Linked DNA regions of Notamacropus eugenii. The protein of the gene in region 1 interacts with the protein of each later gene in a pairwise test. Links are inferred from orthologs where the notes say so. Each region holds a gene or a part of one and is shown in the gene's direction. Other genes may lie near its edges. The genes, in order: ANKRD13A and QDPR.

Evidence for each region.
Region 2: the proteins of ANKRD13A (region 1) and QDPR interact in a two-hybrid assay, tested with the Homo sapiens proteins (2 studies listed by BioGRID). The two-hybrid records come from large-scale screens. The link is inferred for Notamacropus eugenii from reciprocal best matches to the Homo sapiens genes ANKRD13A and QDPR.

What each region holds. Positions count from the first base shown.
Region 1 is NC_092875.1:21,996,690-22,004,414, reverse strand, and holds the start of ANKRD13A (ankyrin repeat domain-containing protein 13A), read left to right. Parts: upstream 1-4,577; 5' UTR 4,578-4,587; coding exon 4,588-5,178; intron 5,179-7,725. UniProt on the Homo sapiens protein: Ubiquitin-binding protein that specifically recognizes and binds 'Lys-63'-linked ubiquitin. Does not bind 'Lys-48'-linked ubiquitin.
Region 2 is NC_092877.1:70,224,246-70,231,617, reverse strand, and holds the start of QDPR (dihydropteridine reductase), read left to right. Parts: upstream 1-4,233; 5' UTR 4,234-4,441; coding exon 4,442-4,540; intron 4,541-7,372. UniProt on the Homo sapiens protein: Catalyzes the conversion of quinonoid dihydrobiopterin into tetrahydrobiopterin.

The sequences.
Region 1 (7,725 bases):
GTACAATGGTTAGAGCCCTGGGCTGGGAGTCAGGAAGACCTGAGCTCAAAACTAGCCTCAGATACCTCCTTTGTGTCCTTAAATGACACAAGTCATTTATCCTCTGCCTGCCTCAGTTTCCTCACCTGTAAAATGTGGATAATAATAGTACCTATCTCCCAGGGTTGTTGTGAGGATCAAAAGCTCTGGCTTAGCACAATGCCTTGCACATAGTAGATGTTACATAAATGATGGCTATTATCATGGCCATCATTCATCTGTTGTTCCTGCTTTATGGCCAAGAAGGGAATGCTTCATCATCTCCAGAGTGCTTGTCTTGCAGCATTGATTGAGTCATACTTGGCCAGCCAAAAGCAGCTTCTTTGTCCTCAAAGATCTGGAGCATTGAAATCGTTTGTACACATGGTTGGCAGAGAGTAGACAAGAACCTTTCATTGCAGTCAAGTTTGCAGCTTGAATCACAATATTTCAGAGCTGGAAGGGACCTCAGGGATCCAACCAGTTCAACCCATATCTGACCAGGGGTTCCTTTTGCTAACACTGACCAGTGGCTGCCCGGACTTGCAGACCTTCAAGGCTGAGAAAGCCACCTTTGAGGCAGCTCATCCCACGTGGGGACAGCGCTAATCGTTAGCAAGTTTTTCCTGATATCAAGGCTAAATTTGATGGAGGACCCAAGGCTTCTGGTTCTGCCCTCACAGGAGCCAAAGAAATCACAAAACTGATTCTTCGTCAAGTGATTGCCCTTCAAATATTTGAAGACACCCACTAGATAGGTGGTGCCGTGGATAGAGTGGCCAGCCCTGGAGTTAGGAGGACCTAAGTTCAAATTTGGCCTCAGACACTTAGGAGCTGTGTGACCCTGGGCAAGTTACTTCACCCTGTTTGCCTCAGTTTTCTCATCTGTCAAATGAGCTAGAAAAGGAAATGGCAAACCACTCCAGTATGTTTGCCCAGAAAACCCCAAATGGGGTCATGGAGAGTCAGACATGACTTGAAAATGACTCAACAGAAATCTCTTGAATATTTCTTTTCTTTTCCAAGCTAAACATCCACAGCTTGTTCAACTAATCCTTATATACCATATGGGTATATGTCACATATCCCTGCTCCCTGACAGCAGTCACTGCTTTGTTTTCTCTTTGTGTCTTCAGTGCCCAGCACAGTGTTTGATTACATAAGTGCTAACTGTTTAATTGATTATTAACAAGTTGGGTCTCCCCAGTAAACATCTCCTTGTTCCAGGAATTTTCTCTGGTTGTCCCCCATGTCTGAAACATTCTCCCTCCTCTGCTTTGACTACTGTTCTCTCTGGCTTTCTTTTGAGTCTCAACTAAAATCCTACCTTCTACAGGAAGACTTTCCTAACCCCTCCCGAGGGCCATCTCCAGTCATCCTGATTAGATCTCACCACTGGATCCAGATGGCTTCAGAGGAGAAAGTGAGGCTGGTGACCTTGACAGCCCTGCCTCAGTTAAATCCAGTTTATTTGCATGTCATGGCATCACCTCCCTGATGTCATGGTCCTCTTCAAGAATTAATTCTAGTGTTTCCCCCTGTTAATTATTCCTATTTAGCCTCTAAAAATATAGAGGATAAATTATTTCCTACTTATTCTCTACATAACTTGCTTTGTATATATTTTTTCCTAAATTGTCTCCACTGTTAAATTCTTTTCTTTTTCTTCCTTCTTTCCTTGGCAGTTGGGATTAAGTGATTTACCCAGGGTCACACAGCTAGTAAGTGTCTGAGGTCCCATTTGAACTCAGGCCTTCAGGGTCAGTGCTTTATCCACTTCACCACCCATTGGTCCCTCCATTAGATTGTGAACTCTTTGAGGCCAGATGCTTATCTTTTGTTTGTTTTTGTATCCTCAGGGCTTAGCATTGTGCCTGGCACATAGTAGGCACTTAACAAATATCTACTAATTAAGTGACTCATTTACAGACTGGAAATTCTTTGAAATCAAGGACTATTCCAGTTTTCATCTTATATCCCCAGCCCATGACATGGTGCCTAGCACATATCAAATGCTTAATAAATGCTTATTGACTGACTGACTGACTGATAGGCTGACTCTACATCACCCCCAGTAAGCAGATGTCAAGCCTCAGCTTGAAGACCTCCAGAGAAGGGAATCCACCACCTCTAGGGGCAACCCGGACCACTTTGTGACACTATAGTGTGGATTTTCTCTATCCCTACCACCAGGTCATATTGAATGAGGACTTGGATGCAACGTAACCTTTACAGTTGCATGCATGTTTAACACTAGGACATTTTCTTCCCTATGGCCTCTATGTATGTAAGCATTGTGATAAATCAAGTTTAACATCTTTCAGATAGGACTCTTTGTGTGCCTTGGAACACAATTGTCCTCTCCAGACTCTGAGTCAAGGCAATCTATTATTATATTGCATCCCATTTTTGTTGCCAGGAGGGAACTTATCCAGTGGTTATCTCCATAACAAGATAAAGTGCTGGATTTGGAGTTCACATCTTGCCTTTGATGTAGGCTGCTTGTGTCAGGTGACTCAGTTCTCTCATCTGTGAAATGGGGATAATATTTGAACGGCTCACTTCATTTGGTTGTTTCACTACTCAGAGTTCACATGTATAGGATGCTTTGCAAGCTTTAAGGGGTTGTATAAATGTCAGTTATTATGATTGGTTTCCAAGCAGTGAGGTGCCACTCACGGAAATGTAATGGCTTCTGGATCTGTTGTGTGGAGAATGGATTACAGCAGGATTCCCAACCAGCTGTTGTGTCTAGAGCTGAAGCACAGAAGGAATGCTTTATGAATACATCTGAGAACAGTAGCCAAGAGTATAGTGTGGTTAATTGTGGGCAGCTGGGAAACAATGGCTACAGACAGGCTAGTCTGATGTCAAAGAAGGCCAGATGAAAAACAATGCTGTGCTCTCCAAAGTGGAAAGTCAAAGGGAGAGAAACATTCATGAAAACTTGGCATTTTTGGAGTTCCAGAGCTGTGTTCAAATACAGGATCTTCCACATTCTAGGTTTTATGGTAAAGGGTTAGCCAATTTCTGGGACAGCTGGCACGGTGAGATAGGAGGCCTCAGACACTTTAGTAGCGGTGTGACACTGATCAAATCACTTACCCCTATTTGCCTCAGTTTCCTCTTCTGTAAAATGAGCTGGAGAAGGAAATGATAAACCACTCCAGTATCTCTGCCAAGAAAACCCCAAATAGGGTCACCGACAGGACCCCCCCAAAAACAACCCGACAAACAACAACAAAATGTCAATTTCCACCCCCACATTAAACAACAATAAAGTCAATTTTCACCCCCTCACAACTAAACAACAACAAAAAGCCAATTTCTACCTCTTCCCCACTAAACAACATGTCCATTTCTATCCCCTCAGGACTAAACAACAACAGAAGTCAATTTCCACCCCCACCCCACTAAACAACAAGAAGTCAATTTCTGCAGCCCCACCCCCAACAACACAATCAATTTTTGTTGTCCTCTTGACTAAACAATAAATCAGTTTCCATCCTTCCCCCAACTAAACAGCAACAAGCCAATTTCCACCCTTTGACTAAACAGCAACAAAAAGTCAATTTCCACCCCTCCCCCCCACAACAAGAAGTCAGTTTCCACCCCTCCATAACAACAGCAACAAGAAGAAGTCAATTTCCATCCCATCTGGACTAAACAATAACAAGTCAATTTCCTTGGGAGCAGTGTGGACTCTTTAGCCTACAATTCAGATGTCTCTGACTCAAGTTTCTCCCACTCCAATTCATCCTGTGTTCAGTCATCAAAACGATTTTCCTAGAACACAAGTCTGATCATGCCACTCTCCCCCGACACCCCGTAAACTTCAATGGTTCCCTATTGCCTCGAGGATCTAATACAAAATACTCGGTTTGACATTCAAAGCCCCTCACAATCTGCCCTTTCCAGTCTTCTCACACTTTATTTCCCCACAGGGATCCACTGACACTGGCCTCTTGGCTGTTCCAAGAACACATTTTCTCTACTTCTGATTCCTGACATTTTCTCTCTGGCTGTCCCCCTATGCCTGGAATGCTCTCTCCCCTCTCCACTTCCTGTCTTTCCTGGGTTCCTTTAAGTCCCAACTAAAATTCCACCTTCTCCAGGAAGCTTTTCCCGATTCCTCTTAATTCTCGTGCTTTCCTCTTTTAAACGATTTCCTATACTAAATTTCCTGTACTAAACTTGCTTTGTTTATATTTGCAGGTTGTCTCCCTCGTTAGATTATAAACTCCTTGAGGGCAAGAACAGCGTTTTGCATTTTATTGTATCCCCCAAGGGCTTAACAAAAGTTTATCAATCGATTAATTAAATGCTTGTTAACTGGCTTCTAGTCTGAGGAGTCAACCATCCCCATCTCTAATGTAGTGATACAAGTGACTTCCTCTTGTAATTTAAAAACTTCCCCCAGTTCGGATTCAAAGAGGCTCTTAACCAATCACAGAAGAATCCGCCCTTGCCCAATATGGCCGCCGGGGCGTCAGGAGCTGGGGCGGGGCCAAAGGTGGCCTGAATGGTTTTACCCATTTCCTCCTCCCCACCTCCTGTGATACCGAGCCAATGGAAAAGCCCGAGTTGTGGACGAGATTAACAGGGGCGCTTGGGGCCGGGGGTGGGGTCTGGAGGTTCGTGAGAAGCCGAGTTTGGGGTGCCAGCCTCAGCGCCGTGAGGCGGGGACCGGCCACGCCCGTGTGGTTTGGGGGCCTCAAGCTCAGCGTCGGGGGCCCGAGTGTCCGGGTCGGCCTCAGTCCGCGCAGCCGCAGGTTGAGTCTTCCCCCCCCCAGGCCGGCCGGTGTGGTTTGGCCCAGCCCTTCCCTGTTTGGGACAGTTCGGGCGGAGAAGTCGCGGGCGGAGAGCGCCGGCGTCGGGGCGGAGGCGAGAGGGGCTGCTAGCGGCCGAGGCCGGGGGCGGCTGGCGGCAGCGGAGAGCGGACTGGGGAGCCGAGGGCCGGGGGCCGGGAGCCGGGAGCCGGGGGTCGGGAGCCGAGGGCCGGGCCGGGCCCGCTGTCCCCTGCGCCGCTCGGGGCCCCCCGGGGCCGGCGGGGGCCTCAGCATGTCCTGCGGGGGTGACGGCCCCAGCAGCCACTTCCCCCTGCACGCCCTGGTCTGGAACAATGACTACCGGCAGCTGGAGAAGGAGCTGAACGGCCAGGTGAGCCAACGAGCTCGGGGGGAAACTGAGGCTCGGAGTGCCTGTGGGGTCAGAGCCGCGGGGAGCCTTGAGTCCGTGAACTCAGAGGGGATCCTGCGGGCCCGGGATTCTGCGGGCCCGGGATCGGGGCTGCGGGGGTTCTTGGCCCCGGAGATGCGGGAGGAAAGTGAGTCCAAGAGTTGGGAACCGCCGGGAACCCTGACTTCTGAGTCCCAGGGCAAGCCTGGGGTCAGGAGCTGCAGGGGACCCCGATTCTCTTGATGGAAGAGGGGAACTGAACTCCAGAGCAGGCCGGGTGAGGAGGCTGAACCCCCCTGACCGGGGCTGGGAGGAGAAACTGAGTCCCAGAGGGGTGTGGGGTCAAGGGCTGGGGGCGGCGGCCTGAAGGGCAGAGAGGTCCTATCACTGAGCTGGAAGGACCTTAGGCACCTCGGGTCTAGCCCTGTATGTGTCCGAGGAGGTGTCAGCATTGAGACCCTTAAGGGCCATCTGGGCCAAGTACGGTCCAGGAGCCTTTATCCGGCGCCCCCAGATGCCAGCACCGTGCGGTGGCGGGGATCCAGAGAAAGGCCAAAGACTATTCCTGCCCTCGATGAGCTCATAGTCTAGTGGGAGAGCCAGCGTGCCAGGCCCTCGGGACCACAAGCTGTAGGCAGGCCAGGCAGGCTAATTAGCAGAGGGAAGGCTCCGGCATTAAGAGAGATTAGGAAAGGCTTCCTGAAAGAAGGTGGGAATTCGCTGGGACTTGGAGGAGGCCAGGGGTCAGAGATGAGCAGGGGGGCAGGCGGAGATGGGAGGGTCAAGGTGGGGGTCAAGGTTAGGAAGGACTTGGACCTTCAGGGAATTGGATTGTTGATTTCAAAGTCTATTGGGAACCACTGGAGTTTATTGAGTAGGGTTGATGGTTGATTCTGTGTTTTAGGAAAGTCACTTTGGTGGCCCAGTGGAGGAGGGACTAGAATGGGGAGAGACTTGAGGCAGGCAGACCGAACCTCCCCCAGAAGTAGTAGGGGTAAGGGCTTTCATCGGGTTGGGGGCTGGGTCCCAGGAGAGAAAGGTAGGTGTTTGTATTAGGGAGATGTTACAAAGGAGAAATGGACAGGTCTTGGCCACGGATCTGCTTTAGGGGGTGAGAGAGGAGGCTTCCAGGGTGATCCGTGGGCTGTGAGCTTGGGGGACTCAGACAGGGAGTCCTTGATGCTCAGAGGGGTCCCACAGAAGGTTTTCAGCTGGAAGGCTCCTTGTTGCTGTGAAAACCTTCCTAACCATTGGAGCCGTCCAAAAGAGGGATGAGCCAGCCACCTTGCCCCCAGAGGTCTTCAGGTGGAGGGTGCCAGTGGGGAAGGCTGAACTAGATTCCAGCTCAGAGATGCTGTGGCTCTGGACCTTGGGGACAACTGATTTGGAAATGCTTTTGAGTTCATTCATTCAAACCCCAGACCTTACAAGTGAGGACTCTGGCCTAGGAGACCTTTGAAAGGCTTTCCACAGTGTGACTCATTACACAGGACTTCGTTCTGTATCTAATGCATTTCCTTGAGTGTCCTATTCAGTTGGCTTATCCCCTTACTTGACTGCTTTGAGGTCAGAACCTGGCTCTTTACTTATTGTCTCCTCCAGTGGCTAGCTTGGTGTACTAACTTAGGGAAATGATAATAATCTATATTTGTATGGTACTTTCTTCACAAGAATACTATGTTAGATGGGTAGGGCTGTGTTATTATCCCCATTTTACGTGGGTGAAAATTGAGCGGAGATGTGAATTGAGTTTCCCATGGTCACACAGCCCACATCCTTGGGGCTTGGGTTTGAACTCAGTGTTTTTTTATATTATCTCTCTGTGAGTATTAATATGTGTTTATTGTTTTGTTGTGTTGTGTTGCCCAATTGTAGAGTGCCAGCCTGGCACCATGAACACTGTGGGAGTGAGCAGTTCAGACTGGGGTAGGACATTTTGCCTACCTCTGAAAGCTGGGGCCTGTTACTATTAGTGTGAGTCACTCTTTGGGTCAGAGGCAGGTGTGCCAGGGCATTATGTGGCTCTGAAGCAGCCCTAAGGTCGGCAGGAAAATGCTTTGAGGGAAGCACAAATGATTTTCATTTGGTTGGCTGAAAAAATCCGCAGGCTAAGCATCACCCAGTTGAGTGAAAAGTTGCTGCCAAGCATGAGCCTTCACCCTTGCCAAGAATCTGCCCGCTGCAGTTCTCCTAAGACAGCCCACTGTCAAAACAGCCAGAAATCCATTGTAAACCAGGTGCCTTTTCCCCCCAGTAACAATGCTTGGTACTTGTTTCCTGAATCTTTTCTGCCGAGACGGGTTGAATTTCTTTGTAAGGTTCATCCCTTTTAATTAGGCGGCGCAATCCCTGCAGAACAGTTGAGGAGATGCTTTGACATGTTTACTGTCAAATGATTCACTAGTCCTGGACCGACCAGCTTAGTCCTGACTGCCCATTCATCTCTCCATTTCCTGCCCAACACAGTCCAACCTTTTGGGTTTGGCTTTATTTCTGGGGCTGAAGGACAGTGAACATTAATAAATGTCT
Region 2 (7,372 bases), on another chromosome or scaffold:
TGGAGTTTTTCTTTCTCTTTCCTCCTGAAGGTCCTGAGGGTTAGAGACTTTCTCATTTTATTTGTGCCTAACTACATGCTTCAATGCAACCTAGCAAAGATGGTCTAACAGGATACTGGGAAAGGGTTTACTACTGTGTCTTATCTTTCCCAAAGTACTTTACCCTGCAAACTGCAGCTTCAACTTTTGTCCACAGACATCCATGTACATGGATGTCTTCTTCCGTTCATGAGCCTTACCCTAGTCACCTCCCTTCTTTTTATGTATTTTTTCTGCATTACTGGTATTTAAGTTATCGTTAGATTCTGTTAAAGCTCTGATTGAACTTATTTCTGCTGAGTAATGATCTGTATATTTGTATTTGAATAAAAAAATTCCCCAATATGATCAGTGTATGTTTTCCTTCTGTTTGCTTAATAAATACAGTGTATTAATGTTTTCAAAGATTTATAAGAGTGTTGGTGGGTACAATCTGCCAAGTCACAGTATTTCTAAAGCTGAAAGATTCAAGTTCATATTCTTAGAACAAATATAAAAAGCACTTGACTGTGGGAAGATGGCCTGAAATAGGTTGGTTTTGGACCTCACCAACCAAAACTGTTCTCTCCAAGGATGGTTTTCATGAGATATCATAATGAATAAATTATGACTTTTCAGTCCTCACTCTTCTTGACCTTTTGACAACCTTTGACACTCACTACTGACCAACCCCTCCTCTTAAATATACTCTTTAGGTAAATCTCTCTGGGTTTTTGGGACATTGGTTTATCTTGGTTCTCCTTCGGCCTGATTATTTCTTCTCAGGCTCTGCTGTAAGATTATCATTCTAGTCCTAACAGTGGATATCCCCTAAGGATTTATCCTGGGCCTTCTTTTTTGTCACTATACTTGCTTTCTTGTCGATATCAACATGGGGTTAAGTCTCTTTGCAGACTACTCCTAGATCTATGTGTCTACCTCTAGCCCTGCACTAGCAAATATCTGTTAAGATACCTGTACCAGGATACCTATGGACATGTCACACCCAACAGATCTAAAATAGAACTCATTATTTTCCCCTCATAAACCCAGGTTTCCAATCTCAGAGGTATCTTCAGCTCCACATTCTCCTTTACCTCCCACCATATCCACAGCCAACAGATTCCAAAACTTGTTGATTCTACCTTGACCACATTCCTTATGGGGTAGCTAGGTAGCACAGTGGATAGAGTGCCAATCCTAGAGTCAGGAAGACCTGAGTTCAAACCCTATCTCAGATACTTATTAAATGTGTGACCCTGGGCAAGCCAGTTAACCTTGTTTGCCTCGGTTTCCTCATCTGTAAAATCTGCTGGAGAAGGAAATGGCAAACCAGTCCACTATCTTTGCCAAGAAAACCCAAATGGGGTTATGAAGAGTCAGACGTGACTGAACAGCATCTCATATCCATTGCCATTCAAATGGCTACCATGCTGCCTCAGACACTTGTGACCTCTTACCTGCATCAACATAATTCTCTCTTAACTACTTTCCCTCCTTCCAATGTCTCTTAGCTCTAATCCATACTCCACATATGGGCCAAATTAATCTGACTAAATCATAGGTCTAACCACATCACTCCCTTCATCAAGAAGTTTCAGGCCTCCCTATTAGCTCTAGTCTAGGTTAAAATACAAACTCCTCCGTGGAGGAACAAATTACCTTTCCAAGCTTAGTCAGAACTAATTCATTCCCTCTATATTCTAGCTAAAGCCTCCTTGTTCTCCAAACTCAGAATTCCATTTCCTACCTCCATGACTTTGCATAGGCTGTTCTTTGTGCCTAGGAGGATACACTCTGTCATAACTTCTATATTTTGAAACTCAAGTCTTAACCTGTATGCTTCCTATAGGAAGCCTTTCCCCTTTTCTGATTCCATTAGATGTTAAGGCTTTTTCCTCAACTGATCAAATACATAATTATATATATTCATCCCCCCTCTTGAAGACAAGAAATACAATTTTCATTTTGTCCCAGTGTGTGGCACACAGAAGGCACTTAATGGGTTGGGTTGGCCTATTCTGGATTAGTTGTTTTTCTGGAGTCCAGAAGAACAAGTCGCATTCTTTCCCCACATGAGAGCCATTCAAATATTTAATGCCCTCTCACTTCTCCATTTCCTTCAACCAGTCCTCCCAGGGCTTGATCTCAGGGTTCTTCACTGCCCCGTTCCTCTGCGGATGCCCTCCAGTGCATCAGCGCCTCCCTAAGAGGGCACCCATAGCTGAACTCACTGAGATGACAGGGACATCCCCTCTGACACCGCCCGTCTGCCGTCACCGGCTCTCCCTGTGTCCGGCTCTCCCTGTGTCCGGCTCTCCGTGTCCGGCTCTCCCTGTGTCCGGCTCTCCCTGTGTCCGGCTCTCCTTGTGTCCGGCTCTCCGTGTCCGGCTCTCCCTGTGTCCGGCTCTCCCTGTGTGTGTCCGGCTCTCCCTGTGTGTGTCCGGCTCTCCCGGTGTCCGGCTCTCCCTGTGTCCGGCTCTCCGTGTCCGGCTCTCCCTGTGTGTGTCCGGCTCTCCCTGTGTCCGGCTCTCCCTGTGTCCGGCTCTCCGTGTCCGGCTCTCCCTGCGTGTGTCCGGCTCTCCCTGTGTCGGGTCTCCGTGTCCGGCTCTCCCTGTGTCCGGCTCTCCCTGTGTGTGTCCGGCTCTCCCTGTGTGTGTCCGGCTCTCCCTGTGTCCGGCTCTCCCTGTGTCCGGCTCTCCCTGTGTCCGGCTCTCCGTGTCCGGCTCTCCCTGTGTGTGTCCGGCTCTCCCTGTGTCCGGCTCTCCCTGTGTGTGTCCGGCTCTCCCCGTGTCCGGCTCTCCCCGTGTCCGGCTCTCCCTGTGTGTGTCCGGCTCTCCCTGTGTCCGGCTCTCCCTGTGTGTGTCCGGCTCTCCCTGTGTGTGTCCGGCTCTCCCTGTGTGTGTCCGGCTCTCCCCGTGTCCGGCTCTCCCTGTGTCCGGCTCTCCCTGTGTCCGGCTCTCCCCGTGTCCGGCTCTCCGTGTCCTGCTCTCTGTGTCCGGCTCTCCCTGTGTCCGGCTCAGAAGGCTTCCACACGGGGCAGGTTCACTAAAGAGGAGAAGCCGGGGGCTCAGCGCCTGCCAGGGCCCCACGTAACCTCAGCCCCTCCCGGCGCCTGCTCGCGGCGCCCCGCGGCTCCGACGTGGGGGCTTCTGCCTGAGCCCCCGAGGCTTCCTCTGAACCTCCAGCTCGGCCTGCCCCCATCCCAGGACACGAGGCCTGGCCTCAGCGCACCTCAGCCTCTGCCCAGCACAAACCCTGAGGCGGGATTCCTCCCCGGACAAAGCCCACGGACCCTCCCTCGCCTGCAAGTCGGGGTCACCCCCTGAGAGCGACGGGCGCGTAGCCTCCGAGGCCAGCCAGGAAGGGCTCTGTCTTGTGATTGGGGGGCGCTTGCGACGTAACGTTACATTTTATTTATATGCATTTATATTCATATATGTTTTAATGTTATATGTAATATATAAACACGTAGAGTATAAATTATACGTAATACATACACTATACATATTAGTATCTTATTGCCCCAGACCCTCCCGGGCAGTCAGTTCCTCGAGCTAGCTACCTTTCCCGTCTCCTCCCGCAATCTCACGCGGACCTCCGTAAACAGCTGGTGCCCATTTTACGAGAATTACGGTAGGCCTTCCTCCGCTGCCTCAGGGACGTCTCCCTGTCCCTCTCCACCTCCTCCGTGGTGTCCTGACTGACAGGTAGACGCGCCCCTTCCCTCTAAGTGACGGTCCAGGGCCGGTCCTGATTGGCTCCCGGGAAACCCTGCAGCTTCCTCAGAGGCTGGGACGGGGCAGGCATTCAGCAGGCGCATAATAAAAGCGGGGCTGTATGGCTTTTGAATGAACGGTTGGCAGAACTGAGTTCGGTATACAGTTCTCTGGGCCGCTAAGTGGGAAAGAGAAACACCTAAAGAGAATGGTCCTTAATAATAAATAATAATAATTAATAAAAATAAGCAACATCTTGGCGTTCGCGGAGGATCTCCCGGCCCTTGACTCCCGGCCCCTTCGGTCACGTGACCTGGGCTCCGCCCTCCTCTCCGGACTCTGCGCTCTCATTGGCTGTCCCTCAGACCCGCTCTTCTCCCCCTCCCACCTCCCACCTTGGCCTTTATCCCCTGCGCTCCAGCTCGCTCCGAGGCGCCTCCCTCCCCCCTCCGGACCGTGAACTCCCGGGGCGCCAGGCTCCCTGAGGAGGGCTTCCTCCGCGGAGGCGGAGCCCCTTGCCGCACCGCCCCCCGCGGTCAGCCCGCCTAGGGGGCAGCAGCGCCCCTCGCCTGCAGGGCCCAGCAGGCCTCCGCTCTCGCGCCCTCTCTCGGCACGTGCCGTGCGGTGTGGGGGCGGGGCCGGATCTCGGGGCGGGGCCGGATCTCGGGGCGGGGCCGGAGCAGCGGGGCGGGCGGACGGGCACGATGGCGGCGGCTGCGGGCGACGCGCGCATGGTCCTGGTGTACGGAGGCAGAGGCGCGCTGGGCACCAAGTGTGTGCAGGCTTTCCGGGCCAAGAACTGGGTAAGCGGGGGGTTTCTGTGCGCGTGGCGCTGAGAAGGGCATGGACGGGGCCGTCGGGCTCCGCGGCGGGCACGGCTGGGGTCCTCGCCTGAGGGCACGGCTCCCCTGTTGCGTACTTCCGTGCCCACTCGTGCTTGTGCAGGGCTCTGTTCGTGCGCATGCTCCCGCTTCTAGGGCACCCCAAAACACACGTGGGTCCCCTGCCTTGCGCTCGCGTGTCTGCTTCTAGGATACCCCGAAACGCACGCACCCCTCCTCTCCGGCGCACGTTCGGACGCGCCCGCGCACCCCCTCCCCTCTTGTAAGGGTGGGCTTCAGACGTGCCCCCGGGCCCATATTTTGCCCCCGAAGCTTAAAGAGAGTCACTACTTGTGAGCGGTGGAATGAGCGAGGCTGCCCCTCCCCGGGGCTGGCCGGGTAGGAGGGAGGGAGGGCTAGCCGGGCCACGGGGGAGACCCCTGGGAGACGGGGCCACGGGTGTGCCGCCCACCGACCTCCTTCCCTGGGGGAAGAGGAACGGACGGGAGGGTGGGGAAGCCGGCGTGCAGCCCCGCAGGAGGAGGTGGTTGGCAGGGCTTGTAGATTAAGGGTGGGGCCGAAGACGGTGAATGTGGGGAGTCGGGGTTCCCACTAGGGCTTTGCTGCAGATGGGGAAGGCGCTAAACCCCTCTTGTCCCAGAAAAGGGAGTCGGCACGATCCTTAACCTCCCCTTTAGCCCAGGACTTGGTGATTTTTGGGGCTCCCCCCTTTTCCCTTTTTGCTCGTTTAGTCTAGGGACGCTCCTCGTTAGCGCCTGTTCCCTAGTCCTGGGACCTGGTTATCACTAAATGTATGTCCAGATCTGACTGTCTGATCCCTCCCTCCCTCCTTCCCTCTTTCCTTCTTTCCTTCTTTCCCTCCTTCCTTCCTTCCTTCCTTCCTTCCTTCCTTCCTTCCTTCCTTCCTTCCTTCCTTCCCTCCTTCCTCTCTCCTTCCTTCCTCTCTCCTTCCTTCCTTCCTTCCTTCCTTCCTTCCTTCCTTCCTTCCTTCCTTCCTCTCTCCTTCCTTCCTCTCTCCTTCCTCTCTCCTTCCTTCCTTCCTTCCTTCCTTCCTTCCTTCCTTCCTTCCTTCCTTCCTTCCTTCCTCCTCTCTCCTTCCTTCCTCTCTCCTTCCTTCCTCTCTCCTTCCTTCCTTCCTTCCTTCCTTCCTTCCTTCCTTCCTTCCTTCCTCTCTCCTTCCTTCCTCTCTCCTTCCTTCCTCTCTCCTTCCTTCCTCTCTCCTTCCTTCCTTCCTTCCTTCCTTCCTTCCTTCCTTCCTTCCTTCCTTCCTGACAGGCTGGCAAGGATAGTGCTGGCTTCCTGGGAGGGAAGGGAGAAGGTAGATGGGTCAGGCTGGGGCCAGGGTCCTTGTGTGACTGCCTGTACTTGTCCATATGGGGCCTCCAGTGGCCTAATTTTTTTCTGAGGATTTTGACAGTAAGCGAACACATTAAGGAAAAATTGCCAGAAGAACCGGTGTTTACACGTTGAAAGAGGGATCTTTGTTCCCATTGAGAGCATTCGTAGCTTGTCTATTTTTCATCTGTAGCATCAAACAGGATAGTCAGGCATGTGAGGAATTCCCATTTGAGTGAGATGCAAGATCTGTTTAAGAACTGAGCGTCTCAGGCATGCTTAAAGGCAACTTAGCTTGGACAACAAGGGATCGGTGAATATGGGGTAGATGAAGAATGAATGGAGGGAAAGTCAGGCTTTTACTCCATGTGCCTGTTACTGTGCTAAGGGCTTGAGGAGACCGGCACTCTAATTGGGGGAAATAATGCCAGGTGCATGTAAAGGTCTTGAATGTAAAGGGGCAGGACAGGGATCCAGAAGAAGAGCAGGCCTGAGAGTCAGAGAAGAAGAGGGAGTTTGAGGTCCCTATGGCAGGAGTGCAGATGAAGGGGAAAGGGGTCTGTTGACCTGTCAAGAGGGGAGAATGTAAAGGAGCAGGAAGCTTTCAGGTGGGTTCTGGGGTTGGGGAAAGGGCAAACAGCCCTGACTCCAGGCCTGGGCATTGTCTGGAAAATGGTAATGCTAACCACATATTTTTGTAGAGCTTTAAGATTGGTAAAGCATTTCCACAGAATATCCCTACGAGGTTGGAAGTGTAAGTATCATTTCCCCCCATTTTACAGCTGAGGAAACTGGAGCTCAGAGCCCCTTCTTGTGCATGGTTCCACAGCTAATAAGTGTTGGGACTAGGATTTGAGCCCAGGTCTCCTGACACCAGGTCCAGCACCGTTTGTATTAGGAGTCACGCTAGTCCTTAGATATAGGTGAATGACCTTGATTCTAGAGGCCTAATCAGGTACAAGGTTATAGGGAGAATCCCTTCCTTGGAAGGGATTTTTACATTAGCATGTGGGGGGGCTTCCTCTTTCCCACACCTAGATTCTGGCTCCAGCATGTCACCTTAAATAAATGTCTCCATTTTTCTGGGTCTCAGTTTTTCATCTCTGAAATGAGGGAGTTCGATGGGAGACCCTTTAGATTCATTTCTAGCTCAAATTTTCTGATTTGTTGTCCCTCTGTCCTAGGTTCTATCTTTTTAAGATTTAACTCACCATTTGATTGTAGCTCCTTAAAATTTTTTAAAATAGATCTATAGAATTTAAAATCTGAAATAGATTTTAGAGGTGATCCAGTATTACCTTTTTTTCTTTCCTCTCCTTCTCTTTACATTTGAGGAAATTGAGGTTCAGAAATATTAAGTGATTTGCCTGATATGAAAAAGTTAGTGGCAAAATAGGGTCTGGAACCAGGGTCTCTGATTCTCAGCCAGATGTCCTTTCCACTGTCTTGAAAGGCCTC